Mus musculus: one gene and its partners. The protein of the gene in region 2 purifies or fractionates together with the protein of the main gene of each other region. This does not show direct contact. Links are inferred from orthologs where the notes say so. Each region holds a gene or a part of one and is shown on either strand. Other genes may lie near its edges. The genes, in order: Gtpbp4, Lyar, Gnl2 and Mybbp1a.

Evidence for each region.
Region 1: the proteins of Lyar (region 2) and Gtpbp4 purify together in Homo sapiens (co-immunoprecipitation; 3 studies listed by BioGRID and IntAct, with this or other methods). This does not show direct contact. The link is inferred for Mus musculus from reciprocal best matches to the Homo sapiens genes LYAR and GTPBP4.
Region 3: the proteins of Lyar (region 2) and Gnl2 purify together in Homo sapiens (affinity purification with mass spectrometry; 3 studies listed by BioGRID and IntAct, with this or other methods). This does not show direct contact. The link is inferred for Mus musculus from reciprocal best matches to the Homo sapiens genes LYAR and GNL2.
Region 4: the proteins of Lyar (region 2) and Mybbp1a purify together in Homo sapiens (affinity purification with mass spectrometry; 3 studies listed by BioGRID and IntAct, with this or other methods). This does not show direct contact. The link is inferred for Mus musculus from reciprocal best matches to the Homo sapiens genes LYAR and MYBBP1A.

Annotation. Positions count from the first base shown.
Region 1 is NC_000079.6:8,991,217-8,998,757, forward strand, and holds the start of Gtpbp4 (nucleolar GTP-binding protein 1), read right to left. Parts: upstream 4,797-7,541; 5' UTR 4,781-4,796; coding exon 4,733-4,780; intron 1,600-4,732; coding exon 1,429-1,599; intron 820-1,428; coding exon 716-819; intron 636-715; coding exon 499-635; intron 1-498. UniProt on the Homo sapiens protein: Involved in the biogenesis of the 60S ribosomal subunit. Acts as a TP53 repressor, preventing TP53 stabilization and cell cycle arrest.
Region 2 is NC_000071.6:38,217,171-38,224,712, reverse strand, and holds the start of Lyar (cell growth-regulating nucleolar protein), read right to left. Parts: upstream 4,232-7,542; 5' UTR 4,078-4,231; exon of another isoform or gene 3,924-4,077; intron 1,783-3,923; exon of another isoform or gene 1,659-1,782; intron 1,580-1,658; exon of another isoform or gene 1,482-1,579; intron 87-1,481; 5' UTR 38-86; coding exon 1-37. UniProt on the Homo sapiens protein: Plays a role in the maintenance of the appropriate processing of 47S/45S pre-rRNA to 32S/30S pre-rRNAs and their subsequent processing to produce 18S and 28S rRNAs. Also acts at the level of transcription regulation.
Region 3 is NC_000070.6:125,041,502-125,048,455, reverse strand, and holds part of Gnl2 (nucleolar GTP-binding protein 2), read right to left. Parts: intron 5,843-6,954; coding exon 5,776-5,842; exon of another isoform or gene 5,570-5,775; coding exon of another isoform or gene 5,567-5,569; intron 4,892-5,566; coding exon 4,733-4,891; intron 4,233-4,732; coding exon 4,119-4,232; intron 3,957-4,118; exon of another isoform or gene 3,856-3,956; intron 2,211-3,855; coding exon 2,082-2,210; intron 954-2,081; coding exon 849-953; intron 110-848; coding exon 1-109. UniProt on the Homo sapiens protein: GTPase that associates with pre-60S ribosomal subunits in the nucleolus and is required for their nuclear export and maturation.
Region 4 is NC_000077.6:72,437,891-72,445,345, reverse strand, and holds the start of Mybbp1a (myb-binding protein 1A), read right to left. Parts: upstream 4,020-7,455; 5' UTR 3,963-4,019; coding exon 3,771-3,962; intron 3,669-3,770; coding exon 3,573-3,668; intron 2,947-3,572; coding exon 2,863-2,946; intron 2,777-2,862; coding exon 2,702-2,776; intron 2,601-2,701; coding exon 2,493-2,600; intron 1,871-2,492; coding exon 1,695-1,870; intron 1,606-1,694; coding exon 1,438-1,605; intron 1,344-1,437; coding exon 1,226-1,343; intron 665-1,225; coding exon 369-664; intron 171-368; coding exon 60-170; intron 1-59. Other genes in the region: Ggt6 (glutathione hydrolase 6), read right to left, coding at 7,177-7,455. UniProt on the Homo sapiens protein: May activate or repress transcription via interactions with sequence specific DNA-binding proteins. Repression may be mediated at least in part by histone deacetylase activity (HDAC activity).

The DNA of each region.
Region 1 (7,541 bases), on a different chromosome or scaffold from region 2:
ATTTTCCAAATATGGCTACACCAAGAATCATGTACTTATCTACCAACCTACATCTCAGTTGCTTTAAGTCAAATTGAGACTAAGAACCATGTTTGGGAAGGATGATTACGAACGGATAATTGGTCCACAGTGTATTTTCAAGTATGCATGCTGTGATCTAAGTATGTCCACTTAGTTGTCTCACCTGAAACACCAGCACAGCTCTAGCATGTGCCACTAAGCTATCATGAGAACCCCACAGATCTGTAGCAAACACTTTCAGGGGAAAGAGCACAATGCCCAACAAAATATTTGTAGGGCTTAGGGGTTAGCACAAGGTCCAATTACCAGCTCTAACTCTGAAATTTCCTACTAAATAAAAGTGTTTTCAGATTTATGTTTTACTTACTAAATATTAAAAACATGCATCTAACTAAACTTCCAAAAAATGAAAACTAAAAAAAAAGTCCCAAACATGAAAGAGCACAGTGAAACTTTTTTTTACTGTATGACAACTACCTTGTTCCAGATACTCCAAGCTCTGCCTCTGTCTCTTGATAATAGTACACATTCGTCCAAGGGCCGCGCGCTTCAGCTGCTTGCATCGGTACAGAGAATCACCATATTTCATAAGACGCACATAATCTTTAGCAACACTTAGAAAAAGAGAAAGTAATCTAAGGGTTTGTATTTTTTGGTAATAACTTATAAGATATATAGTAAGAAAATGCCTTACTTGTCCACCAAGTTTTTGGCAATATTTATTTGACCTAGAGCCAACTTGTAGTGATCCTTGTCATAGAGAATATTCATCAAGTCAGCATAAAACGGATGGATATCCTATAATGAAAAAATGAAATGTACAACGTCACTCCGTGTAAGAAACACTAGAGAAGCCGGGCGGTGGTGGCGCACACCTTTAATCCCAGCACTTGGGAGGCAAGGCAGGCGGATTTCTGAGTTCGAGGCCAGCCTGGTCTACAAAGTGAGTTCCAGGACAGCCAGGGCTATACAGAGAAACCCTGTCTCGAAAAACCAAAAAAAGAAAAAAAGAAAAGAAGAAAAGAGCCACCGGAGAAGCAGCTCCCTTTCCCCTCTTCAAACCTGCAGCTCTGATCCCCAGACCCCGTGTCCTGGCCAAAGACCCTGTCAAGCCATCAAGCCACCCCTAAGGAAACAAGCAGTCACTGGTAGTCACACTAACCTCAATCCTACTACAGTGACAGAACCACTTAGGACCAGTTCTCCCCAGACACTAGGTTGCACGCCGCCTGCCCGAGGGGGTGGAGCTTGGAGAGGGGGCCTGGGCTCTCTAAACCACTCTGCTAAGTTCACAGGAAGAGAAGTAACTGACACATCAGTTATTTCATTTCGTCTCTAACAAATACATCCATCTGGCTAATATGGCTCTCTGTAGTCTTCTATGTTATAACCATACTTGTCACTTACATCCAATTTGGGGAAATCCGACAGAATCTGTGACAGTCTGTCATGGTAATTCTGTTGAGTAAATTTGACTTTTCTCATATAAAAATGTCGAATCCGATGAATTTGATAATGTTTATGAATAACCGTTGGAGTCTTTCGTTGAGTCTTGGATAATGTTAGGTCAATAAAGTCCTATGATTAAAGAGAATAATTAAAATTCAAACATTTGCTTATAACTTTCTTAAAGCATTAACCCAGTAGTACATGGTTTAAACTACAAAATTTACTTTTTCAAAAATCAACTGTTTTGTATACAACTTGGCTCATCTTTATAGTTTCTGGCCTTTATGAAAACTTGCTACCCACCACCAAGACTAAGATAGTTGGGAGAATCTCAACCCTCCTCAAGAATGCCTGACCAAAAGGGACAGTGCTGGTAGTGTCTCTAAGTGTCAGAGCCTTGCATTATTTATGCCCTCAATCGCTCAGCCCCTACACCAAGTATGACACCAAGATCAACTAGGCCATGCCTCACAAAGACCCAGCCCCTGCCCCTGATAATGGGAGCATGCTCCATGTGTCCAACCACGCCAGGACCTGAGTTTGGAATGGCTGAAAAACTTGTGAATACTTCCAACTGATGGAGGAGGCCCCTTCCTTGTCACTCTTCCAATAAAAATATGCCTGGGGTAGAAGAGAGGACTTGCTAATGGTTGCTGAAATATATTTTACCCCATGTTTTTTAATGCTATTTTAACTTTCAAATAAACTCAAGAATAAATCAGAAGAAAAAGAGCCAGCTCTTCAATTTCAAGGATTTTGTAGCTTTGATTTTAAAGGGGTATAAAATGAAAAATCTAAAACTCATCATCTAAAATTTCCTGGGTATGCTGAGTAGACTATTTGAGATATTTGTACTTATTCACTTTTACCCAACCATAGAAAGCTGTTCTACTTTCCCTTGATCACTTCCATTAATTGAACAATATTGATCATTTTCTATAATAAAGGATAGAATGAACACAATGCTGAAGACAAAACAGTGAAGAAGACACTAAGATCCAACGAAACAAAACCAAAGGCAAGCAGGTAATCACAATACAGTCTGCCAGATTACGGAGAGCATGGATACTCAGGCCTGCTGCTCTTCTACTCTGTTCCTTTCCATGGTCCTCATATCTTTTAAAAGTTGCCTACTGAAAAGTTTCTCCAAACTCACCCATTTATTAGTATATTCTTTGTTTTTATTTTTCTAATCAGGGTTTCTCTGTGTGTAGCTTTGATTGTCCTGGAATTTGCTCTGTACACCAGGCTAGCCTCAAACTCACAGAGATCTCCTGCCTTTGCCTCCTCAGTAGTGGGATTAAAGGCATGCACTAACACCGACTGCCCAGTTCTCACTACATTCTTATGTTATCCCAAATCTCTGATATTTACAGGAGTTTATAGTCAGGGTTCCTCCCACCCAAGCCCTCGCCCACCAAAACAGAGAGATATTTGAGTTCACTTTATAAAATGGCACAGTACTTGTGTGTAGAAGAATCCACATATATTTGTCATATACGGTAAATAGCTGTAACTATATGTAGGGAATGCTCCTTTAAAAAGTCTATGTGCATGGTGGCTCACGCCTTTAATCCTAATCCTAGAGGCAGAAATGTATAAGTTCCAGGCCAGCCAAGGCAGACAAAAAGAAAGCAAACAAACAAAAAAGAGAAAATAAAGTCTATGTACATTAAATATAGATGCAATTTTCAAATAGTGTTTTTAATCTGTGTTGGTTGACTCTGGATTTGAACTCATACAGAGGGCCAATTGGAGCTCACACTTCTCCATCATACTGCGGTGGGTATAAACACATTCAGTTATTCCTTCAGAAAATCCTTTTTTTTTAAGATTTATTTACTTATTTATTTATTATATATAAGTACATTGTAGCTGTCCTCAGATACTCCAGAAAAGGGCATCAGATTTCATTACAGACGTAACGTGGTTGCTGGGATTTGAACTCGAGACCTTCGGAAGAGCAGTCGGCGCTCCTAAACCACTGAGCCATCTCGCCAGCCCCCAGAATATGATTCTTAAAGACGCAGACTATTCTATGTGTTTCTATACACAGAACTTGGCACACACTTTACAAAAGCACCCCATACTCTTCAGATTGACTTTTTATTTCCCACCACCTATCTACACACATGCAAACTCATCTGCAAACAGACCTCCTTCAGGGCAACAGAGACAAAGGCTGCCTTTCCTAGGTCAATTATATCAACAAAGTTCCTTTGACCCAATGAACTCTATTTCCAGTGAAATAAAAAGTGTACGAGTTCCTTCAACATGCACTTGAGAAGTAGTGGCGACAGTCTCGTGGGCTAAAACAAAATGTGATTCCTACATGTAGTTTCTTTCCAATTATTACAAACGTGTGAAAAACGTATCAGAATGGATATCAGAAAGAGGAAGAAAGGAGAAATACAGAGACGTGTAAGGAAAACAACTAGTGGAAACATGGTTTTTGTCTTTTCAAGACAGGGTCTTTCAGAGATCCGCCTACCTTTGCCTCCCTAGTGCTGAGACTAAAGGCGTGCACTACCACGCCCACCAGAAAATACTAGTTCTTTACACAAGTTTTCAAAGCAAGCTCATTCAGAAAGGGGGATGTCGAAAACACCCACACTGCGGTCAATTTAACGATAGTGACACTGGTTCCTCTAACTGATTCTGCAATTTAATGCCCATGGCTTGCCAGAGAAACCGGTGTATCCTTTTAGGTTCTTTAGCCTACCTCATTCTCGACATTTGGGAGGAAAGCATCTTGCTACGTTACATAATGTGGGCCTGGCTACTTGCGTGCTTATAACCAATTGCATCTTTTAAGTCCAACGACAAAATGACAGCTACCTAAAATCTTTTTAGACCGTGACGTCACGAATCAAATTCTACTTAAAGGGGAGGGTACTCACACGACGCTCACCACTGGCCCCTTCAGGCTTCCTACCCTGCTCCTTACTGTGGCCACCACCCAGACACTTTGTCCCGTCGGCAGGCCACACAAGAATCATAGGCTCTGGAACGGCCCTGATGTCTTGGAGGGATTCTAGGGCTTAGGGTACCCAAGGACAGCAGGAGAGGGGCTTGGTTTCAGAGAGTGGGACTGATCTCCGAGGGTCGCGAGGACAAAGCCTAGCAAGCGGAGCTCCGCACTGAGGGCCGAGGGACTGCACGGTGTCCTCCCTCCCCCAGTCTCGGGGATACAGGCCTGGACCCTCCCTGGCGACTTGTCGGGGAAATGGAGATAGGCGGAAACGACCTCTGTCACCCCTACCTTGGCAGACGGCACCACCGTAATCTTCTTGAAGTTGTAATGCGCCATGCCGGCGGTGGAACGCACGAGGAACCAGGAGAAGCGGAGGACCGGACTTCCGCCGGCGGAGGTGGGCGGGACTTCCGCTATCCGGCGTGACACAACTTTGGCTGCCGGACTCAAGCGTTACATCATTTCCTGAATGTCCGCGAGGCGTGGCCCACGCGTCCGCCTAGACAGGCTTCTAGTCCCACAGCGTCCCCGCTCGGCCGGGAAGTCCGCCGCCAAGAGCCGCGGTAGAGATCTGCTGGGTTTAGAGGTGGGAGAGATAACCTTGCGGGGTGAAAGGGAGACTCCCGGCTGGCCACCTTGGCGGGGCTCTCAGGAAACACTGCCCTCACCCAAGCCGGCTTCGGGGCTCCAAAGGGTGTTTCCAGCCACCTCTGGGGACGCCGCGGCCAGAGCGAGTGACGAGCGGGAAGACGCAGCGCGGGGCTTCTGCATCACTTTGGTGTCCCTTGAGCAAGAAAGGCTGTCTGTCGCCTGGCAGTGTGGAAAGTTATTTATTCGAGTAAATTATGTTGACGGGGCTTCTGTTAATGGAGTAGACTGCATACTTCCAGGTGGCCCGAGTTTCCTCTCCTGACCTTGCAGTCTCGAGGTGGTTTGTGGGTGCTCCACCTTCACCTGACCTTCACCTGACATGGGCCAGTGAAAAAACTCTGCCCCCCACACAGCTGCCCAGAACCCAGGCACCAGACATAGACACAAAGTCTGATCCGTACAGACCTACATGGATTGAAGCCAACCTTCCCACTTGCGTTTTCCCTGTCAGTTTAATTAAGCCACCCATTTCTTTACCTTAATCCATCTACTCTTGCCTCATGATTATCTTTTAACTAAAAGACCCTTTCTCAGGTGTTGCCATCTTCTTCAAACCTTTCTCCCTATTTTTCTGTGACATCCATCATTCTGGTACTTGATGTCTAGAATGCAGTCTTCTTTGCTAATTTACCTTCCTGAGTCTCTCCCTAACTAGATAATCCTCAAGGTTCTTCCTCTCCTCAAAGTCTCCTTTCTCCTTTCTCCTTCACAGCCCCAGTGTGGACTACTTTGATAATACAAGTTGCTTTCAGCCTGGTGTCTTTTTTAATTACAATCAGACATTTTCAATCAGACTCCAGATATGTTAAATTGGGTATTTCCCAAGAGCATTTACTTTCTGCTTTTCTGACTAAATGCATCTCTCTGTGCTGTTGGAAAGGACAGTCTCGGGCTGGTGAGATGGCTCAGCGGGTAAGAGCACTAACTGCTCTTCTGAAGTTCCTGAGTTCAAATCTCAGCAACCACATAGAGGCTCACAACCACCCATAATGAGATCTGACACCCTCTTCTGGTGCGTTTGAAGTCAGCTACAGTGTACTTATGTATAATAATAAATAAATCTTTGGGCTGGAGTAAGCAAGAACTGAGTGAGGCTCGGCAGTGGTGGCGCATGCCTTTAATTCAAGCACTTGGGAGGCAGACACAGCTGGATTTCTGAGTTTGAGGCCAGCCTGGTCTACAGAGTGAGTTCCAGAACAGCCAGGGCTACACAGAGAAACCCTGTCTCAGAAAAAGCAAAAAGGAAAAAAAAAAAAAAAAAAAACTGAGTGAACTGAATTGATCGGAGCAAGCAGGGTGGACTGGAGCAAGCATAGGTCCTAAAAATTCAATTCCCAACAACCACATGAAGGCTCACAACCATCTGTACATATACAGTGTACTCACATACATAAAATAAATAAATCTTAAAAAAAAAAAAAAGGCCAGGCGTGGTGGCGCACGACTTTAATCCCAGCACTCGGGAGGCAGAGGCAGGTGAATTTCTGAGTTCGAGACCAGCCTGGTCTACAAAGTGAGTTCCAGGACAGCCAGGGCTACACAGAGAAACCCTGTCTCAAAAAACCAAAAAAAAAAAAAAAAAAAAAAAAAAAGGAAAGGAAAGGACAGCCTCACATTCTGACTCCCCACTAGGGTACTGAACAAAACTGAACAGAGTCAAGAGCAAGGTTGACCAAGACTAAAGACCTTGAAACAAAGTTAGTAGATGAGGCCTCAGGGGCAGAGGTGAGGTCATAAGAAGAGTGGCCCTACTGATGATGAATCCCAGGAACAGGAGCAGAGAAGGAAAATTATGGAATAAGGCAAAAGAGCTGTATGTGGTCCCACACAGTGGGTTAGCAGAATCCAGGTATTCACCAAGGAGACTCAGTCCTTGGAGCCCAGCTCAAATAGGAGGAAGTGGATAAGGATGAAGCACTTGGACAATTGATAAAATTTTCACTCTCAGGTAACTCAAGAATCCCATATGGTGTTAAACCTTAAATAGGGCTGACTATAGCTCAAGCAGTGTTCAAAGCAGTTGACCCCAAATTAACTCACTTAGCTCCTACAAAAACCTTATAATATTTGGTGAGGAAACAAAACTATACAATTTTGTTATATGTAGAAATTATATAAAATTATATAAGATATATAAGAATTATATAAAAAGCCTTGAACATGTGGCTTGGCTCCTACAAAACCTGCTTTGACATACTGCTTCTAAGTCATTGTGTGTGCTCTCTCACTTTTCAGATCTTTTAACAAGTCCTGCTCTTCTTCATGAAAATGTCTATCATGTTCCCATCGTTCCAGTATTAAAAATCAATTTGAAGCACATTGCCATTTGTTATCTTAGCATTACTGCTCATTATTGTGTCAGCAAGTTAAATAAGCATGCTTTGATTATTCTAAATGAAACCTCCAAGATTACTAGAATTTACTGGCTGTAATCACATACTACCCA
Region 2 (7,542 bases):
CGGATTCACCACATGCATTGCATGTAAAAAATACCATTTTTGGTTAAATAATTAGAAATTTTCTGATATAGGTTTGAACTCTTGCCCTAAAAAAGAAGATAAAGATGATTATAATAAGCCTAAACTCCTCCCAATAAGTGAATTTCACAACAAAAGGGCAAGCTCAAAGTTTACCAGTGATCTCCGAGAAGTAACATACTTCTATCAATGGCAGAAAAACCAGCCAAGTTCTCAGCGTGAAACAGGAATATGTACTGGCACTAACCAACTAAGCCCTCACAACAACTTACTTGGGAAATGATGTCATGGCCTTGTAGAAACGATTCCTACATGCACAATGGGTCACAGGTGAAAGACAGCCCCTTGGCCTCAGTGGACAAGGTCCAACAAACATGTTTCATTAGGGCTCATGCATGTCAGGGAGGAAGAAAAGGAACCCATCGCAGGAGCTCCATACCCAGGTGTGCCAGCCTCACCAAGTGCACCCAGCATGGAGGGCATCTGCACAGGCACCCCCCCCCAACACACACACACTGCATGCATGCTACCATACTCTATCAGATTCCTAAAGTGTTACGAATATCATGGTAACTTTCCATGCTTACATAGCCTTCTAGTCATCAGACTCTAAGAGAGCAGTCCTGTTCTTATAAAATGGGCTTCATTCAGCCCAAATACAGCCACTTAGCGCAGAACTCTTTTCCTCAGTATGAAATGAAGGTTGAGGATTAAGTAAACACATAGGACTTGCTTCTCTACTTCATGTAAGAACTCAGCACCAACGGGCTGCACTTTGTTTACAGTGATTTCAAGCATAAATCACCATCGCCCCTCTGACACAAGCCAGTGAGGTCACGCCAAACCAAAGCAAGAGCAGGATGGTTTTCTTCCATTGAGTCCTGAATGGAAATGTCCATCCTTGTGTACAAAGGCCTCCTGTCCTTTAGGGCACAACTGGTTCACCTTAGATACAAATCACAGGTCCTCGACACTGATGTCCTGTGCCCTCCTCCTCAGCTTGTGAACAGAGCTGATTAGCAAGGGCAGGCATGTGGGCAGCTACAGCCTGGCACCAAAGGCAAACTGGGGTAGATAGGACCACTCTAGGCTATCCAAGTACTGTTGTCTAGCCTGTTTTTTAAAGACATGTGTCACACTTCTGGATCTGGAACCATGCTTAATGTTTACCACAGCCTGGCTTCTAAAATATTTACTATCATTTTGCACAAGGCGGATGGAGGTAAATAAATGCTAGGCAGCAAGGGCAGCAGTTCCACCGCACAAGCAAGAACAAGAGCCTACTGCCACCTAGTCTGGACATCCTTATACATTTACGTAAGAACAAGAAAAAAGTCAGCTAATTGGATATCAAGAAACGGACTGCCATCATAGCACAGGGAACAGTTGCTGTGATTAGCTAAAGGATCCACTGAAAAATCAGGAATCGCTTCTGCAAGGAGGACAATGAAGAAAACACCTACTAACTTAGAGCTTTCAACCTCTGCGGCTGACGACTGCTGTTTCTGGTCAAGCTTGAGAGGAGAGGGCAGGCTTGAGTAAACCTTGGGAATCCACGGGTCTGTCGTTGGGAAAGACCAGAATTAAAGCCCAAGAAACAAGATACAGCAATCAACAAAGCGATATGGCAAAAGACATGCCTGCAGCAACTATGAAAAACAGCTCCCCATGGCACAGTGTGAACACCAACTCAGGAGAAGGCTGGAATCAGGTCATATGTTCAACTGATCACCACTCTGGAGTCATGCTCAACTGGTTTTCTACCTATTTATTGGACAAGAAACGAGAATCAGTGTGTCCACCTGCAGGGCTAATGAGATAAGATTTGTAAGGAGATTATTCAGATGGGGGGAGGGAGGGAGAAAGCCCAGGGTCACCTTGGCTGTGCAGCATCTCCAGCTCGGAGAGAACACTGTTCATTTATGAGAAGTATGCAGTACATACTACAAAGGACAGCAAGGCTCAGAACCAGAAAGCCAGCACAACTGGCCATGCAGCGAGGTTCAAGTCTCAGGCCAGGCTTATGAGCATCAGAAGTGTAAAGGCCACAGACTACGAGACAGAATCCTGGGCTAAGCGAAGACAGCAATGCCCTGTTAGGTTCCCATTAAACACTAAAACCAAGAGCAACTTGGGGAGGCCAGAGGTCTAATTCAGGAGTTGCCCACCTTCCCTTTTCTAAAGACTTATTTTATTATAAGCGTTGAGCCTCTAAGTGTGTGCCCATACTCCTAGAGGTCAGAAGGCAGCGTCAGATCTTGTGATGATTAGTCCTGGTTGTCAACTTGACTACATCTGGAATGAACTACAATACAGAAATGGAGGGCACACCTATGATCCAGAAGAAACAGGCTTCTGACCTGGATTTTGACATGGACATCTTGAGGCACAGTGGCCCAGGCAAGGTAGCACACCTTTAAACCCAGGAAGACTGAGGCAAGCAGATCTCTGAGTTCAAGGCCAGTCTGGGACAGACAGAGCAAGTTCCAAATCCAGGCACGGTGGTACACACCTTTAATCTGGGGCACTCCGTCTGCTGGAGGCCCACATAAGGACACTGGAAGAAGGAAGACTCACTCTTCTTCTCCTGCTTGCACTTACTTGCCAGCACATCTCTTGGAACCTACTTCTTCAGGATTCCAGCATATACAGAAGACCACCTAAAACACCCAGCCTTGTGGGACCGAGAAACTTCTAGATTCTTGGGCTTCCCATTCATAGCTAACATTGTTAGGTTAGTTGGATTATAGACTATAAAAGTCATTACAATAAATTCCCCTAATATGTAGATATCCCACAAGTTCTGTGATTCTAGAGAACCCCGACTAATATAGATCTCTTAGATTCTGGGTGCTGAGAACTGAACTCAGGTCCCCTGGAAGAACAGCAAATACTCTTAATCCCTGAGCCATGCCTCCAGCCCCCTACCTTGTCTCTCTCTCTCTCTCTCTCTCTCTCTCTCTCTCTCACTGGGAGTTTATTAAGCGAGCTGGATAGAGAGCCACAGGGTTCTGTCACCACATCTTGCTTTTTAACCTGGGTTCTGGGCATGGAAATTCATGTCCTCATGCTTGTGTGTCAAGCACTTTACAGACTGGACTATCACTTGTTTAACTCATGTACACACAGAGACAATATTTGCCCTAAAACCAGGCCATCTTAAAGGCCAGGCAGGCAACTGCTCCCTTTAAACTTCAATTTCTCCCCATCTCTGAAATAGGGAGTCGGCCCACTATAACTAGGCACAAGCTCCTTCCAGAATTCCTAGAAATCACAGGTACACTAAAAGATAAAAAAACAGCACATATCTCCACCCTCTTGGGACCCCAGGGGAAGACTATGAGTGGGCCACATGTTTCCACTGAAGCTCAAAGAATCCAAGCCATGCCCCTGCTTCGGTAGAGGCAGTTCAAGTCTCCTCACCACAGCTTCATATGAATAACTTGCAGGTGTTAGGCACTACGGTAGACACTAAACTCTTGACACAATTTGAGCAGGCTTCATATCCCTGGGCTTCGCTGGGCAGAAGCTAGGCTTTCGGGCACATAGACCCCTATCATCTCTCTTACCTCTATCTCCTAGGAGGTAGCTGCTGCAGGAAAAATCCTGACACATGCTGAGCAACCACTATACGCCAAGCCTTTTACCCCTGTAAACTTCACACACACCCTAAATTAGATTCTCTGGTATCCCTTTTGGACAGACGTGGAGCTGGGCACCACTAGGTTAAGTAGCTTGTATCTAGATCGATATTTGGGGGTTCGCGGGCACTTAGGTCTTTGGTCCTCTGAGCTCCAGGAGCCATAAGGTCCTTCCTCCGGACCTAGTTCTCGAGCCTCAGAGAAAAGCCCTCTCCCCATCAGCCAGCAGGTCTATAAGCCCTGTGCGCTGAGGACTAACCGTACCATCTGGCCGGCCCCGAGTGCCGGACTAAAAACCGGGATGCAATATCTCCAGGAACTCAAAAGGCTAGGTTTTGCCCGCGAGCGAGTCCTCAAGGAAGGCAGCCATGCCACCATCGCCCTTCCTCCATGTCCCGGGGCTCCAAGCAGTTCTCACCTGTCAGCCGACCCCGCCAACGGTCTCAACCGGCCGCCGGGAGCACGTGGAGCGGCAGCCACCCAGCGTAGCACCGCCACCGGCTCGCCCAGCCACCCCGCGCAGAACTCAATCCCGGCGGCGCGCGCCAACGCGCGTGCGCGCAGAGGCCACGCCCCTCCCAGACGGAAGTGACGGCGGCGGAAGTTGCCGATGAGCTGCCGAGGGGGCGTTGTCGGAATGGTTCCGAGGCGGTTGGAGTCCTGCAGTTGACACCGAGAGTGCGACGAGAAAGGGTGTCAGGGAGGCGGCCGGGCGAGAGCGGCCTCCGCGGGTAAGGCGGCCCGGGACACTCGACTCCCGTGGGTTGGCGCGGGTAGGGTGCGCGCGGCTTACTCGCAGCGCTGTGTGATGGGGCTCGGCGGAGCACAAAGCTAAGCTCCGGGCACCGGAGCCGGGCCTCCTCCTTCCTGCAGTCACCCTTGCTGCGGTCTGCGCCGCTCTTGGTGTCTGCGTCGCCCCGAGATAGGAGAGGCGCTTATTTCCCCGGGCCCCTAAGCCGCCCCCTGCCTCACTCACCGCGTGATCCTAGGTGCCATGGTGTTCCATCTGTAGGATGCTATTACTGCAGCGCCTACTCCTCGGGACCACGGCAGGTGCTGGGCGCGCCTCTGTGGGAAAGACAGCATCTGGTATACGTTAGTGGGCACTGTTGCTTAAATGACTGAATGAACGTCCAGCAGGCTATGAACAGTATTGTGAGAAACCTCAACCCAGGCGTGGGCGTTTGTTGGTGACAGAGACGTCTCCTGTTTGCTGTGGCTCCTAAAGCAAGGGACAACAGATGAGGTGGTTCAGATGAGAGAGCTTTAGTTTCTCACACTTCTAGAGGACGGCGGGCCATGAATGTGGTGTCATCGGGTTTGCTTGCTTTAGAGGACTGTCCTGGCTTACTGGTGGTCACTCTTGCTGTATCCCCACACAGTCTTCCCTCTGTGCCATCGCAGCTCAGGCATTTCTGCCACAGAACCCATCCGAAGAGGCTCTTTTTAATTTTTAAAATACAGTTGCCTTCTTAAGGGTGTAATTGCTACAGGTATTCAAATTCTGAGGTTCTGGAGAACGCAACGGAATGCATAAAGAGCCCATTAGGTGGTATGCCCTTGTAACACCAGCACTGGGGAGGTGGCGATAGGTGGATTCCTGAAATCAGTGAGCCTCACACCTCAGTAAGAGACCCTTTCTCAAAAAAAAACAAGGTGGACGACTCCTGAGGAACAATGCCTGAGGCTGGCTTCTGGCCTCCACACATATGCACCCTTGTCTACACAAAACATGCACATATATCTGCACATACATTCAGAAAAAGGCATAAAGATAGGCACAGTAGTTAACAACGCCTAAGGACCCCTGTAAAGCTTGATATAAACAGCTTCAGGGCAAACCTCCCACAAATCATCCACCAGTGTTAACTGCCTGACAGAATTACCCCACCAAACTCTGCCGTGGGAGCCTTTTGGTTAAAATTCTGGTGTGGGCTCCTCTTCCCTTCATTTACCTCATCCAAGCTTTTCCCCACCCCCCACTTCTCCTTGCCTTTCTCACCATGGTATTTGCATTGTTTGATGTCTTTCACAGTGATCTTTCTGCTATCATATTCTTGGTTTCAATTTTAGCTTACAGAACTAGAAGGAACCGTACAGTTCTCTAGTTCCACAGGGTCGCTCTATTCTCAAACTACATGCTGAGCACCTGTGAGGCGCCAGACACTTGCAGGTGTCAGAGCTATAGCAATCAGCGAAGGAGATGTGAGCCATGTCTTTACCATGTAAAGACGGTTGCGTTTGCCGGCTAGGCTGAGCCCCCTAATAGTTCAGTCAGCTGTGAACTTGTCAGTGGTTCATCCTAGTGAGGAAAATCACGCCCTTGTGAGCCTCGCATTTGAACTCTCCTCCTGCACTGAGGACTAAGTCTTGAACTCTTATCATCTTTTTGGAAATACTTCATATCCAAACTATAATTTAGTGTGGGAGGGTCCCCACAGGAGTTACAGCAAGTAGGGGGAAACAGTCACAGTGCGGTAAGAATAAAATCCGATCAGCTCAGTTTTGTAACCAGAGCTGGGCCAGGCCAGGACTTCCAGCGTCTGACCCAGATCATTTTACTTTACTCATATTTATGCACAGCACAATTTGGGGGTGGGGGGGTTCTGATAACAGTTACATCAATCCCAAGTGCACAACAATTTTAAGACATGTTTACATTGAGATTCTTTACAAAGTATATCTGGCTTCTTTCACAAGAATGGGTACTGTTAATTTAGAAATAGTGCCCAGTGTCTAGGATCTAGGGAGATTGAAACATAATGAGGTAAACATAATGTCTGTAGGAGTCAGGATTGGCCTGGCCCTAAGATGACCTAGAAGTCACTAGGCTGTTGTTTTTGTACAAATGACATCTCTCACAAAGATGAGCTCTATGGCCTACAAGTAATGCTCAAGGCTTTAAGGGGAAAGGGTCTGGCAGAAGTTAACCATCAAGTCTGGAAGGTATGGGCAGGGCCTGCTCAACAGGTAGCCAAGGATCACCAGGTTGCAAACCTCATTTCCCAGCATTCCAGGAAAGCAGCTAAGCGCCTCATTCCATTGAAGAGAGAAGCTGTGTGTTTAACTTTCCTGTAGTCTCCAGTCTTAACTGTGAGAGGCCTTCTTTTTGCCGTCTACAGATTATTGCCCCAGATTGCTGTTAAGATCCTCAGCTTCCTCCCGTTCCTCTTCCACTGTGTTTGGATGCCAGAGGTCACATCTGACTCAGCTGTGTGCCTCCCACGCCACCCTCTACCCCCATGTCTATTGCAATTGTTCCATTTGGGTATGCTGCGCTCCCTGGGACTGAAGCCTCCTGGACACCTGCACTCACTGTTGCTGCCCTGGAGGGCAGCCCACAGTAGTGACTCAGGAGGTGGATGAGGAATGACCAGGTCTTCTGTATCCACACAGGAGCTTCTTGTCTCCTTCCCAGTTAGAGCCAGGGTTGTCAGATGGTGTGAAACTCAGGGTGACCTGTCCTTTGCCTCCATGGTATGCCACCTGCTACTCAGCCATACTCTGGAACTCCTGCCCTGGAGGTCCCCCACACCTCCAGGTCATAGACCCCAGGATCCTGCACTCTCCATTCTCTTGCTTCCTCTGTCTGTGAGAAGCATATAGGCATACCTAAACAGACGTGGTGCAGGTCTAATCGCTTTGCTCTCTGCTTGGTGATGGTAGTTATCTTAGTTTGTACCTTATCTGCCCAAATAGGCTTTTAATTTTCTCTAGTTTTGAATTCACTGACCTATATAGGTGTGTATTTGTTACTTCCATTGCTGCTATAACAAAATATCTGATACTAGCAAACTAAGGAAGAGTTTATTTGGGCTCGTAGTCAAAGGGTGCAGTCCATTATTGCAAGGGAGGTTTGGTGGGAGGAGTGAGAAACAGGTGG
Region 3 (6,954 bases), on a different chromosome or scaffold from region 2:
CGTTCTCCCAGGACTCAATCTTGTACGTCTTGCTGATATACTCTGGCTTTGCTCGTTCAAGGACAGCACCAATGTGGTCTTGAGGAGCTTTAATTTTCTCAACTTGAACCTAGAGAATAATAGAAATGCTGTGTTCAATTCTTTTGCATAGACAGGAAAACTCAGTGATTTGTATAAAGTGAAATGGATTTCTTTATCACGAGGTGACTAGGACTTTGCTGTGTCTGTGATAGTTTGGCAGGAGCAAGGAACACCCCTGAAAGCTGACCGCAGCCAGGGAGCCCAGAGCTCAACTCTAATCCTGCTTTACCACAGACTGTGTGCGGCCTCCACAGGCAGTTTGAACTTGGAATGCTCTGTGTCACTCACTGGCAGGAACGGTTAAGATGCCTGCTACTCCCAGAACCCAGAACACAAAAAGCAATCCAAGAATTTCAGAAGGACGGGAGGAATGTGCAGAGAACTTATGCTAGAAGCATGGTTATGGTTAGGGGGAATCATTTAAGTTTTCAGTCATATTCAGAAACAAGGGAGGAAATGACTGGGTTCCAAGATGACTCAATCCATAAACCCATGAGATGAATTATCACTAAGCATAAACAAGCCCTGCTTCCCTTCGGATACCATGTGGTAACTGCACACTACTGTGGGATGACACTGACCAGATATGCCCACAGCCCCTCAACCTCCTGAGGTAGGCTGAGTGGAAAGGAGGCTGCTCTGTTCAGCATCATATTTCTGCATCTGCTTAGACAGGCTGACCCCAGGCTGCCTTCTCAACAAGGAATGGCAAAGGCTCTTAGGGATCCCCACAAACGAAAACAGAATTGTTGAGGACAAATACCCACCACTCCTTTGAGCACAATGTCGGTCTCTGAGTCCTCAGATGGGTAAACCACACCAGGGCAGTCAATCAGGAATATACGACGCATCAAGGTAATATACTGCCAGACCTGCAGACAGAAAATCCTAAGTTTGTCAAAGTCAAATACTGGGAGCTAAACTTCACTGATCTGTGACATTGTCATATTAAGCTATAAAGCAACCTGCTGAATAATCAGGCCAGAGCCTATCCTTTACTTAAGTATGACAACTTCCACCAAGGACATACTAGAGTTCCATCACTGAGAGTCCAAGAATAAGGCAGAGGCAGGATTTCTAGTTGGTCTTGTGCAAAGCCACCACAGTGAACCTCTTCACGTCTTGAAAACATTCAGAAACACAGAGACGCTAGCTTCTTTGTCACAAGGCAGAACAACGCTGTTCCCAAAACTCTGTTATGGCTGCTGCTTCTAAATAATAGAAGCTATCTAAAGACCACGTTTTCGCCGGGTGTCTTTCCTTCTTTTTTTTTGGGGGGGGGGGGCGGTTCTAGACAGTGTTTCTCTGTGTAGCCCTGGCTGTCCTGGAACTCACTTTGTAGACCAGGCTGGCCTCGAATTCAGAATCTGCCTGCCTCTGCCTCCCGAGTACTGGGATTAAAGCCACACCCAGCATGTTTTCTTTCCTTCTTAACCCAGACACCAAATATTCTTGGGTTGGTTTTATTAAAGCAAAAGGTTGGAGTTAAGAGATACGGGGGGTTGGTTCTGTGGTTTAGAGCACTTGCTGTTCTTGTAGAGGACCCAGGTTCAGTTCCCAGCATCCACGTGGCAGCTCACAACGGTCAATATTTCTGGTTCTAGGTGATCTAGTGTCTGTTTCTGACCTCAGTTAGCAAGAGATACATACACAGTGAACATATATGCAGGCCAAACAATTATACATGTAAAATAAAAATGAATAATCTTTAAAAAAAAAAAAAAAGAGTACAAGGGCAATTTACAAAGGAATTAAATGTAGGCCATAACCAAATCACACCCCAGCATTAGCCAACAGGGTGCACCGATCCTGAGAGGGGGCAGGACAGGGGCCATGTCCACTGCAGAACACTTGCCTAGCATGTGTGTGGCCTGGGTTTGATCCCCAGTACTGTTAAAGAAAGGAAGGGGACAGGAGGAAGGGAAGAAGAGAGGGGAGATCTCCATATCTTAAACAGTCAAGTCTTCATAGAAATAAAACAGAGTAGAACCCATACATACCTTTGTTTCTCCAGCAATGGGGGCCACGTTGCAAACTTTCTTGGATCGTAATGTATTAATCACAGAGCTCTTGCCTACATTTGGATAGCCAATGAACCCAACACTGATTTGTTTCTTGTCTGTGTGCAACTGTGAAAAAAAAAAAAGTAAAGAAAAGAATATCTATCATATATACTCGGCCATAGTTAGCTCCCTTAGGTCGGTCACACTGTGTTATTTGGCTAATGGAAGGACTTCTATAGCAAAGAGCATTTAACGCATCCTCAACACAAGCCTGCCTCACAGCCCAGGAGATACAGTGTATTTTCATGTCAGGAGTGAGCCGTGACCTCAGGCACCCACGTAAAGCATCTTTGCTCTAGGTTAACAGGATGTAGATCAGGAGGAGACAGCTTGTCCATCTCCTCATCACAGTGTATCACCAGCCACAGTAGAGACATCTTTAGGGAAGGAGCCTAAGAGATGCCCACTGGAGACATGTGTGTCTGAACATGGCTGGAGCACAGCAAAAGGCAAGTGTTCAAGTCCCAACCAAGTCTAAACACAAGGCAGTGAGACCATTCCTCTAGACCCTGCTCCCCAAGTGCTCCCAGAGCTAAATCTAGAAACTGGAAGAGTCTCTTCTGGAGACAACGACAAACCCAAAGAAAATGCCTGTGTCCCTAATTAACACTACCCGCTTCAGTGAGATCCACCACTGCTAGCAGTCCCCACACCAAAAAGACACCAAGAGTCTATCAGAGTTGTGGGTACTTTTGCTTTCAATTTGATACCAGTTCTCTGTTGCACAGGGCAGTTTCAATCTCCTGAGCTAAAGTGATTTGGGAGAGAGGAGTCTTGTCTCTGAGTAGCTGAGACTGGAAGCTTTTGGCTTAGTACTTGAAGGCAGACCACAGACTGAGAGCAGACAGTTCCTACTAGAGAGGGCTGGCTGAAAAGTAGACTACTTGCTTGCCCAGCTTCTCTACCATCTGTCTGCCCAAATGTTAAACATACAAATAAATGACAAAGCAAATGACGTGAAGCAGAAACAAACCCCTGTACCAGAGAGGAGCATGAGAGCACCTGAGTACACTGCTCTCAACGGCACCTCCGTCAGAAGACTGTGAACGCCAAATGACACTTGGCCTGAGAAGCAGAGTGAGTGAGAGATGTATGTGAGGAAGATGGACACAAGCAACCTCACCGCACCCAGCATCAGGAGGCTACAGGAGCCTGAGGCAGGATGGCTGCTGCAAAGTCACTACACAGTGACTATGGAGCTACCCTGCATCACAGTTCCATCTGTTCTCAAAACACCTCAAAATGAAACCCTTTTCCATAAAACAGTGAGCTCAAGAGGGGAAGAGGGGGAGCGTGTGTGAGAGCCACACGCACTAAGTCATAGCTTAGTACTGACAAGTGCTTAAAAGCATGTTTAAGGCTTTGGGTTCAATGTCTAACTTTAAAAAAAAAAAGGAGAAAAAAAATAGAATCCCCCCCAAACTAACCCTAAAATTTTAAAGCAGGAAACATTTAATAAGTATGTAAAAATACGGGAAAGAGTTGGGGGAATCAAGAAATAAATCATCAGTATGTACCAACAGCACACAGTATTGAAATAACAGACGTGATGGCCAAGAGTCAAAAGTACTACTTCTGGGAAATGAGGAAGGGTGTGACGGGAAGCATGACTTTGTTAGAGCCAGGCAGGAGAGAAGGCTCTGGGACGTTCAGAATGTCCCTGAAGTGATGGGCTGGGCAGCTACCCTGTGACAAAGGCTGAAAGAACTACCTGGTGCTAGTGATATGGCAGAACAGGTCATGTGATGAGAAAATGCTTCAGACCCTTCCTGATCCAGAGCGCCTGCGGGTTTTTTATACCTCTAGAAAACACTGAGAAGTGAACAAAACAGTTGTTGTGAGACGAGATTTCATTATGTAGCCCATTCTGGCTTAAACTTTTGGTCCTCCTGCCTCTACCTCCAAGGTACTGACCCAATGTTAACAACTTGGGACACACACGCCAGCCCAAGCTAGCAGCAGCAGCCTCCCTACCTTCCCAAACTGCCGCAGAAGCTGAATGAATGCTCCCTTCCCAAAGGGATTGGTGAGGCTCGCATGGAAAGCCAGTGTTGGGTAGTCCTGGGAGAGCACAGCAACCCATCGTTTCTAAGGGGAGGAGAAAACACGCTGGTAAATTATAGCTGTTTGTTTACAATATTCAGAAGAATCAGAGTTGGAATTACTGGATGGCTTCAAATACAGCGTTGCCTAAGGGAAACAGCAGCTATAATTCTTTGAGATGCTTTTTCAAGTATGACAGTTAGTGCTTTGTCTTTTGTTTAACAACTGACTACAAAACAATATTCCAAAAACTAACTTAACTACTAAATGCAATTAATGGAACACAATGGGGACGTAGTCAGTGACTGGCAACTGCCTCCACTGGGGGGACACAAAAGCCTGCAGCTGCCCCCGCCAGGAGACGGAAGGTGGCTCTGCCCAGCGCCAGTGCATGTGCTAGCTCTCTGTCAGTAAGGACAGTAAGGGCAACCCCCAGAGTGTGACACTTCGATGGCCTGCTGTTTAGAATCTATGTACTGATGTGCTAGTGAATGGCTTGCCCTACTGGCCTCCACAGTGGGTTTAGGGTCACGAGCTGAACTTACGGTTGCCCAAGTTGGAACAAGGTCACACTTATTGAGTACAAAAATGAGATGTTTCCAGGGTTTTTCCTTTTTCAAGTAAGCTTCGATGTGGGGGGAACGAGTGCCCATCGGATCTCTAGCGTCAAGGACTTGAACGACAACATCTGATGAGTCTATCACCTGCAAATCCAAAGAGGCAGGAACAGTTGGCTGCAGTGCACACAAAATAAAGGGGACATTTATGGGAGCCCAGAGGGACAAAACCGTGTTTGGAAGCAAACAGTCTGCAAGGGGAGTAAACAGCAGCCACTCTCAATGTCCACTCATCAGAATTCAAAAGCTGGTCAAGAATTTTCAAAACTTGTCAAATTTCAAATAGGAAAGCTGGCTTAGATCAAGCCCATCTGATTCACAAGTACCAGGTATTGTGTATGGGTTTGTGTTATTTTACAGAAAATTAAATTTGCCTAGTTTTCCCTTATGGTCTTAGTTTCCTATTATGGTTAATTACATGGAGTGCCTGGAGCTTTTTATATTACCACCCCCCCACAGCCCCCAGACAGTCAGTTCAAAAGCACTGGGTCAGCACTCAGGAGTACACACAAAGCCTTTCTTTCCTTCCCCACAGAGTTAGGCAGGCTGGCTAAGGTATTAACCCTTCCCAGACCGAGATAGTGAGGCTAAGTAACTACTTACAATCCCCCCGCACCTCCCTTTGGGTTTTTGAGACAGGCTTCTCTGTGTTATAGCCCTGACTGTCCTGCAAGTCACAGAGATCTGCCTGTCTCTGTCTCCTGAGTGCTGCATTAAAGGCATGCACTGGCAGTAACTTACACCTTCTTAGGCAGCACTAACCATGCGGGGTACATCCTAAGGGGCAGTGTACAGGACTGACAGGCAACAGAACACAAGTGCTCTTCCTTTCCAGCACAGCACTAGAGTGCACATCACAGCTCCTTCACGGAGGAAAAGAGGATGAGGGAAGCAGTAAAGCATTACTTCATCCAAGGCCTTCAATCGGGCAGCCACTGTGCCTGCTCCTCAGTGAGAGCCACGATCCTTACCTTGTAGAGTTCTCCCCATATTCTTTTTGACTGCCCTTTTTTATATATCTCTTCTTGAGCTTCATTTCTAAGTGAGAAAGGAGCAGAAATGAGCAACTGAAGCACTATCAAGAAGAAAAGGCAATGGTAGTAGTTCACACCTGTAACCTCAGCTCAAGAGCTGGTAGACAGAGCTCTGTGACTTAGCAGCCTGGTCTACACAGTTAAGTTCCAGGCCAAAAAGGACTACACAATAAGACTCTGTCTCAAAAACGAAAACAGCCAGGCGTGGTGGCACACGTCTTTAATCCCGGCACTCGGGAGGCAGAGGTAGGTGGATTTCTGAGTTCGAGGCCAGCCTGGTCTACAGAGTGAGTTCCAGGACAGCCAGGGCTACACAGAGCAACCCTGTCTCAAAAAACAAAAAACCAAAACAAAAAAAACGAAAACATAAAAACCCCAAAACATAAAAACCCCAAAGTATAACAAAGGGAAGGATATGCAGGTGACTCTGCAAAGTCACTGAAGCAAAGCTCCGACAGCAGATCAAGCTGATGTGGTGCAAGTGCACAATGGAGGGACTTAAAGGGAAGGACACTGCCGGGTGTGTCAGTGCACGCCTTTAGCTCCTGATCTAAGGAAGCAGAGGCAGAGAGCTCGGTGAGTTTCAGGCCAACCAGAGTTACACACAGTGAGACCCTGGATCAAAAACAAAAGGGGTTGGGGAGTAGGGAGCTGGAGTCATGGCTCAGCAGTTAAGAGGGCTTACTGCTCCTCCAGAGGATCTGAGTTCCAGGCTAGCCAGGGCCAAATAGCAAGACCCTATTTCACAAAAGAGAGGCAGGGCAGGGGAACCCCTTTTGGCAATTTGTAATCTTTACTTTATGGATCCCCACAAGAATGAAGAAAACTAACGATCTTTTCTTTCCCAAACAAATATAAAGTGAAAATAAAAACAACTCATCACACAAAGTATGCATAGATATGAAAACACCACAATGAAACTCATTACTCTGTGCACTAACTTAAAAAATAAACAAAGGGCTGGCAAGATGGCTTAGTGAGTAAACATGCTTGCTCCAAACCTGACAACCTGAGTCAGGTCCCCAGGACCCACGTGGGAGAAGAAGGGAATCAACTCCTCTGACCACTCATCTACCACAAATATGCATACACAAAATAAAACACGAATTTGAACAA
Region 4 (7,455 bases), on a different chromosome or scaffold from region 2:
AAGGACCAGGCAAGGGACCTAGTTTCGTAGTCATGCCACCCACAGTGTCCCTCACACACCTGGCTATTTGCTCAACCACAGCTTCATCCTTCTCCAGATGCAAATGATCCACAAGGCTGACCAGGCGGTGGATGATCCACTTCCGGAGCCGGAATACAGCTCGCTCAGGCCTGGAAGCAGAGGCCATGTAAGTGACCTCAGAAACAGGGTACCCCTTTGCCCCGGGATCACCCGCACCCTGCCCCGACCTCTTGTCAGGAGAAACAAGGGCACAACCAAGGGCTAACTTTCCTCCTCTCCTGCCTCTAGTTTGAAGCCATGGCACTCAGGCTTTGAGCTCCTCAGAGCTCCTGACACGTGCCACTCACACATTCAACGAGGCGTCCTGAGCTCTCTTCTGGTTGGCAGTGCTGAAGTCAACCAAGGAGTTCAGGTCAGGCTGCAGGAACATGTCCCGCAACCAGGCCACATAGCTCTGCAGGGCTTCAGCATTCAAAAACCGCGTGACACGCCAGAAGGTAGGCATGACAGGGAGACCTTGATTGGTGATGGTTGTAAAGGCCACCATCATAGTCAACTGCCGCTTAGGGTCATCCTGGCACCCCTCTAGGAAGGTACCCACGTATGTACTTATCTCTGGGATGATCTTAAATAGGTTTTGGGGCTGCAAGAGATGAGCATGAGTTTGGGTTATCAGAGTGAAGAGGCAGGCAACCACCTTTGTCTATAGAGACTAAACCCAGGACTTCGCCACTCCAGTCACACAGCAGGGCTGAACCTAACTTTGCCACAACTCCATCAAGGTCTATCCTTGATTCCTTAGTTCATCCCCAGCACAAGAAGGTTCCAATTCTCCCTCAAAGATTGCGGACAAGATTGACTGGCATGAAGGGAACCTAAGCTCAAGTCGTGATAGACCAGTACCTACCCGTGCCATCCTGTGGCTCAAAACCCAAGTGCTTTCTGTATAGCCCCCCACCCCCATCACTGTCTTACAGGTGCTAGGCACAAAATGCAGAACACACTGGGGTCAATAACCACTCCCCTCAATGTGACCCCCCCAGCAGTGTTCCAAATAGATGGCTGGCTGGGCCTGCTGGTAAGTGGGCCCCAGGACAAAAGGGCCTGATTACTGGCCAAGTCCTCCCCTACCAGATCTTCAGAGGAAGAACCCCTGCCCTGGCCCTGCAGGCAGCACTGAACCACATGGGAAGACGACACCTACCTTAGAAATAACCATGTTCTCCCCAAAATGGCGGATCAAGTCTCCTCGCATCACCAACTGCAACTGCTCCTCTGACAGAAGCGGCAGAGACGCACCCAGTAGGCGGAAGCACATGTAGCTAAGGAGAGTTGGGGCAGAGCCTGGTCAGAGGCCCTGTACTTGATCAGGTCCCACCCAGGCTGGAGGAGAGGGAAGACCAGTGTCACACACACCTGGATGTCCAGGACGGATTCTTCAGCAGCCCCTCCTCCAAAACCTTCTTCCAGAACAGTTCGAATCTGCTCTCCTTGAGCGCCAGGCGGAGCAGGTCCAGAGCCACATTAGGCAGCTTGTGCTCCTTCTTGACAGAGTTGGCGGCCACCTTCAGGATGTTCACCAGACTAGAAGGCAGAGGAGATTCAGTAAACGTTACCCGGAGGACTACAGTGCAGGACACCCCCGTGAGAACCCACTCACAATCTCCTCAAACCTGGGAATATTGTCTTCTGAGAACAGGTCAACCGAGCCCATGAGTGACTCGAGCTTTGTCGGCACCCTCTGCTTAGCCAGGAGGAAGAGCTCCAAGTACTTGGGAGAGCGGAGGATCACTTTCATGTTACCCTTGAGGACCTTTGGCAGGATCTCCTGGAACATGGACTCTGGGACCTGGAGTGGGGGCACAGGTGGAAAGGGTGGGTCTTGTTCTACCCATGGGCTTCGGATACACCACTAGTCAGTCAACTTGCCAAGCAGCAGACCCCAGCACTGTATTGATGACTAACTGGCCTGGGGTCTATATTCAAAACTATACCTCTTTTTGTTTTGTAAGAGGGCTAGCCGGTGTCATATACACAGAGCCCTATGTGGGGAGCTGCAACTTAAATTCTGGTCTGTCTCCATTTGTGCCAAAAGGACAAATCAGGGACAAGACAGTGGCAAATGACTCTAGATACAAACAGACCCAGGCTTGACCAAACCAACTATGGCAAATGTACTCAGATTGCCTTCTACATACTCAGGCATTGACAAGCACTGTTCCAGACCCACACTAGCCACACAAAGGCCACCAGAGAGGGTTATGGAGTATCTGAACTGCCTAACTGAGTGGACATGTGCTGAGACCCTGAAAGACAAGGCAGATTTAAGATAGTTGGTGAGAGAGGAATAACAAACAAACAAACAACCTCCTCATACCAGTTGCATGGTCAAACCATCTGTCCTCATCATGTTCCTACCCAAATCTTTTCAACGTTTCCCAAATCAGACGGCATGACTTGTGATTCTCTACCTCAGAGAGGATGTCCACCAGAGCCTTTATTGGCTGTCCCTGTAAGTGGTTGGGGTGTTGGGACAGGATCTTCAGCAATTGCACGGACTTCATCAGGGCCTCTTTGTCCTGGTATCCACAGAGAGCAAAAGGTGAAGAGCAGGGTCTGTTACCATCTGTTCCCCTCCAGCCCTAAACCAGTCCCTGCGCCCCGTGCCAAAAGCTCTTACCTTCACTAGGCGGCCTGACTGAAAGAGGGCTAGCACTCCAAAAAGGTTTGCAAAGAGACTAGGTCTCATCATTGCCTAGAAAAAGATTGAAAACACAGGTGAAGAGGGTCCCTCCCCATAGCTGTTCAGGAGCAGGTTGTCTGTCTGGGAATCTCACGCACCTTGTTCATGGCTTGTAGGCTGTATTTTTCTTGTATCTGATCCAGGATGTCACACAATGGGATGTCTTCAAAAGACTGCAACAGCTACCAGGCAAGACCAGAAAGAGCTCAGGAGTGGCCCAGGGACAACAAACCAGACCAAGTCCATTTCCCTCCTTCAGCTTTCCCCAATATAATCTCCGTGCTCCTCCCATCCCTCACAAGCGCTACTGCTTTCAAGGGACCACATCTTACATGGCTAAGCCCCACCTCCATCAAGGCTTCAGAAGGCCTAGGCTGCTTCTGTACCTCTTGGGAAAACCCATCCCATCCAAAGATCCTGTTCTGAGTTGCCTTGAGGCTGGTTAGTCTTCATTGCTTTTTGCTGTACAAATTTCTACGTGGTCTGTCATCAGTTGCCTTCCTAACCTGGAGGCGGCTCCCCAACCTTGCAGAAATCAACCTCAAAGTTCACTACTTCCAGTAACTGTAGCTAATACTCTGTAGCTGATAAACGTGTATCAGAAAGAAAACGTGTTCAACTCTTCCACCTGCCTGGACTTTGCTGTACATAGGCCATGTTTTGGCACTTCCTCCCACCCAAGTAAGGATGCCTGTATCCCCTCTGAAGCATCTCGGATTTCTTCTTACCCCGCAGCTTCGGTGCCCCCTACCCTTAGACGCCACCTTTGCCCAGCGAGATCGTGCCCTTGCCAGACACACAGTCTCACCTGTGCCAGCGCCAGGCTGTAGCAGGGCCTAGCGGCTTCTCGGCCCACCCCAAGCCCAGTGATTAGGCGCTTCAGGGCATATTTCATCTCCGAATCCTACGGAACCAAGAACATCCCTCGTGTTCAACAGTGATCTGAAGGGCCCACCCCTCCCCCTTGCATCCAGAGCCACGATGGGCCTGGGCCCCTCCATCATACATTGGGCCTTGTGCGCAAGTACTCCAACAACTTCTCCGTGGCCCGGAGCCGCGTTTCCTGATCCGGTTTCGCAATGTCCCAGAAGAAGTCCAAGAACTCGCGGCTGTGCTCCAGCAGGCTGTGGCGGTCGCTTTGCGCCGCTTCTGCGGGAGTCGCAGGCTCAGCTTTCGTGGGGCTCTTCATCTCCGCCATGCTGAGCCAAACACGTGGGCTCAGAAGACAGTCACTTCCAGGTCAGGTCTCGGCGCCTGCGCACTGGGACGTCCGAGTGAGGGCGGGGCCTAGCAGGTTGGAAGTGGCTTCCGTACGGCCTTGCCTTTCCCTTGTGGCTGTGGGTGGAGCAGAGTGTTCTCACACGCGCGTGTGCTCAGAAACTGATGCTTCGATCTCTTCCTTTAACCTGGAGGAGTTCCTGACGACCGGAGGTGCAAACAAATCCACGAAAAAGCCGTAGTATGATCTCTTCCCAGACCCGGGTCTGCTCGCGATCTAGTCCGAGACATCCGCTATTATTCCGCTTTTATTGTGTGCATCCGAACAAAGCCGCGGCTTCTGTGGACTTCCTTTCTAGTGGGAAGAGATGGTTGATGAACGAGTAGACAAATACATTTTAAATGATAGTTATGAGGAAAATAAGGAATGTAGGGAGCAGAGGGAGCCTTTTAAATGTTAAAAAACGTGAAAACATCGCCTGTTAAAAATTAAAGGGAGGGGCTGGAGAGATGGCTCATCGGTTAAGAGCTCTGACTACTCTTCCAGAGGTCCTGAGTTCAGTTCCCAGCAACCACATGGTGGCTCACAACCATCTGTAATGGGATCCAATCCACTCTTCTGGTGTGTCTGAAGACAGATACAGTGTATTCATAAAAATAAACAGCCGGGAGGTGGTGGCACACGCCTTTAATCCCAGCACTTGGGAGGCAGAGACAGGCGGATTTCTGAGTTTGAGGCCAGCCTGGTCTACAAAGTGAGTTCCAGGACAGCCAAGACTATACAGAGAAACCCTGTCTCGAAAAACCAAAAAAAAAAAAAAAACAAAAAACAAAAAAAAAAATAAAATAAAATAAACAACATTTTCTTAAAAAAAAAAAATTAAAGGGAAGCCGGGCATGGTGGTGCACACCTTTGATCCCAGCACTTGGGAGGCAGAGGCAGGTGGATTTCTGAGTTCAAGGCCAGCCTGGTCTACAAAGTGAGTTCCAGGGCAGCCAGGGCTACACAGAGAAACCCTGTCTCGAAAAACCAAACCAAACCAAAACAAAACAAAACAAAAAAAACCAAAAAACCCAAAACCACACACACACACAAAAACAAAACCAAAAAAAAAATTAAAGGGAAAATTCTATAGATTCTAAGATTCTATTTAAGAGACCATGACAAGACTGACATGTGAGCTGACAGCTGAGGGACAAGATGGGCTCTATTGTCCCCAGGGCAAAAATCTAAGAGCAGGCCAAGGACATTTCTTCTACAGAGGCCACTCATCTCTTACGGGAATGAGGTCAGTAAGGTGAGGAGGAGGACTCAGGTGCCAGGAGCAAGGTTATATAGAACCCAGGGCCAGGCTCAAGGGTTCAGAATTTCTTCAGAGAGTGCAGGGAGGATTTACATCTGATTTACAGTTTTAAAAGGTCAACTGTTAGCTGAGAGCAGCCACAGCCCGTGGCTGTGAGTACCGAGGCAGTGAATTATGCTGGAGTAAGGCCTTGGCTAACCTATGGCAAATGTCAACGTAGGCGATGACCTGGGCCAAAGGAGATGATTTGCTAGAAAGGACACCAGGCTAAAAGCTAAAATCGTTGAATAGATGGTGGAATCATTGCGCCTAGCAATGTTTTGTCTGAGAGAGAAGTGGAGATGGTACAATTAAGAGCTCTGCTAGCTTGGGTTTGGGGATATGGTATGGAAATAGAACACCAGCCAAGCACATCAGTGCTCTAAATTTGATCCCCAAGCCAACAAAACAAAACAATTAGCTGACTGTGTTGGTGATCCTGTAATCCCAGTGCCTGGGCCAGACTGGATTACACAGGGAGACTCTGCCTTAAAAAACAAAATTATAGAGACAAGGGATATGGCGTGTTAGTGAAAAGCACTTACTAAACCGGGCGCGGTGGTGCACGCCTTTAATCCCAGCACTCGGGAGGCAGAGGCAGGCAGATTTCTGAGTTTGAGGCCAGCCTGGTCTACAGAGTGAGTTCCAGGACAGCCAGGGCTATACCGAGAAACCGTGTCTGGAAAAAAAACAAAACCAAACAAACAAAAAATCACTTACTACTATTGCAGAGGATCAAGGTTCAGTTCCCAGCACCCATATAGCAGCTCACATCTGTAACCCCAGTTACAGGGGAGCCAAAGCCCTCCTCTGACCTCAGACAGAAGAAGCATGTGGGACATGTGCATATATGCAGTTCACACACACACAGAAGATAAAAGCATCTTTTTTTTTTTTTTGAGACAGGGTTTCTCTGTGTAACTCTGGCTGTCCTGGAACTCACTCTGTAGACCAGGCTGGCCTCGAACTCAGAAATCCACCTGCCTCTGCCTCCCAAGTGCTGGGATTAAAGGCTTGTACCACCACTGCCCGTCTAAAAGTATCATTTTAATTAAAAAAAAAAATTAAACCCTCAAACCCTTAAATAAGAATTTCCTTTCTCTTTGTCAGGTAGGGGAAGTGCTACTGGGTGTCCTTGCTCTTGGCCTGAGGAACTATTTCTAAAGGGTTGTATTCAAGAGATCTCAGAGATCAGGAACAACCCAGTTCCAGCCCTTCTGTACCCAGGGGAACCTCCTACTCATTTTCCCAACCCTTCTCTGCTCTGCCATCTGTTCTACACGTGAAACTAAGAGATTTACCTTGTGCAGATGGAACCCCAGAAAGCAGAAGGTGGCTGGAGCAGGGGAAGCCGAAAGAGACAGACCCAGGCTCCTCCCCCTGTGTCTGGCGTTCATCACCTGTGTTGCAAAGGTTAACAGGAAAGTTAGCCAAAGAGCACAGATGTCACTCTGTCCCCGGAAGATTTGAACTTTATTAGCTTCCAGTCCAATTGATAAAGATCAGCAGGGAATGGTCCAGTGGAAGATGGAGCTGCCCACCCTGCCCAAAGACTCAGTAAGGGCTGGTGACCTTCCACTGGGCTTTCCCAAAGGTGAGTGGCACTCAGACTCTTTTTCATCATCTTCTGGTCTTTATTTGATAGAAAAGTCAGAAATTCCATCAGTGTGGGTACCAGGAAATGTGGTTGGACCAGCCCTGGATGCCAGAGCCAGAGCCAGGTAACAGATTAGGATGGAGGCTTCATGTGATGGAGCAGCAAACACCTCACAGATACATTCTCTTCATACATTCATTGCTGCTAGACCTTCTCTGTCTGGCTCTCAAGTTCCAGACACCTCTGCCCCTCTGTTAATACCCCTGAAAGGGGCAGCAGCCACTGGGGACACTGGAGACATGGGCGTGTTCTGCATGGACTACCGCCTGCAGTAGGGCCCCTTGGCCACATATGCCAGGGCTCTCTGTGGGTCTTTGATGCTGGGGCTGCTGTGGGATTTGGGGTGTTGCCAGATGATTGAGCAAGGTGCAAGTCATGGCTTTGGCCCCTCTGGAGATCCCTGAAGCCACCATCCCCAACATATCGGCTTCTGTGTCATCCAGGTTGTCACGAAGGATGAGTGGACAGGCCCA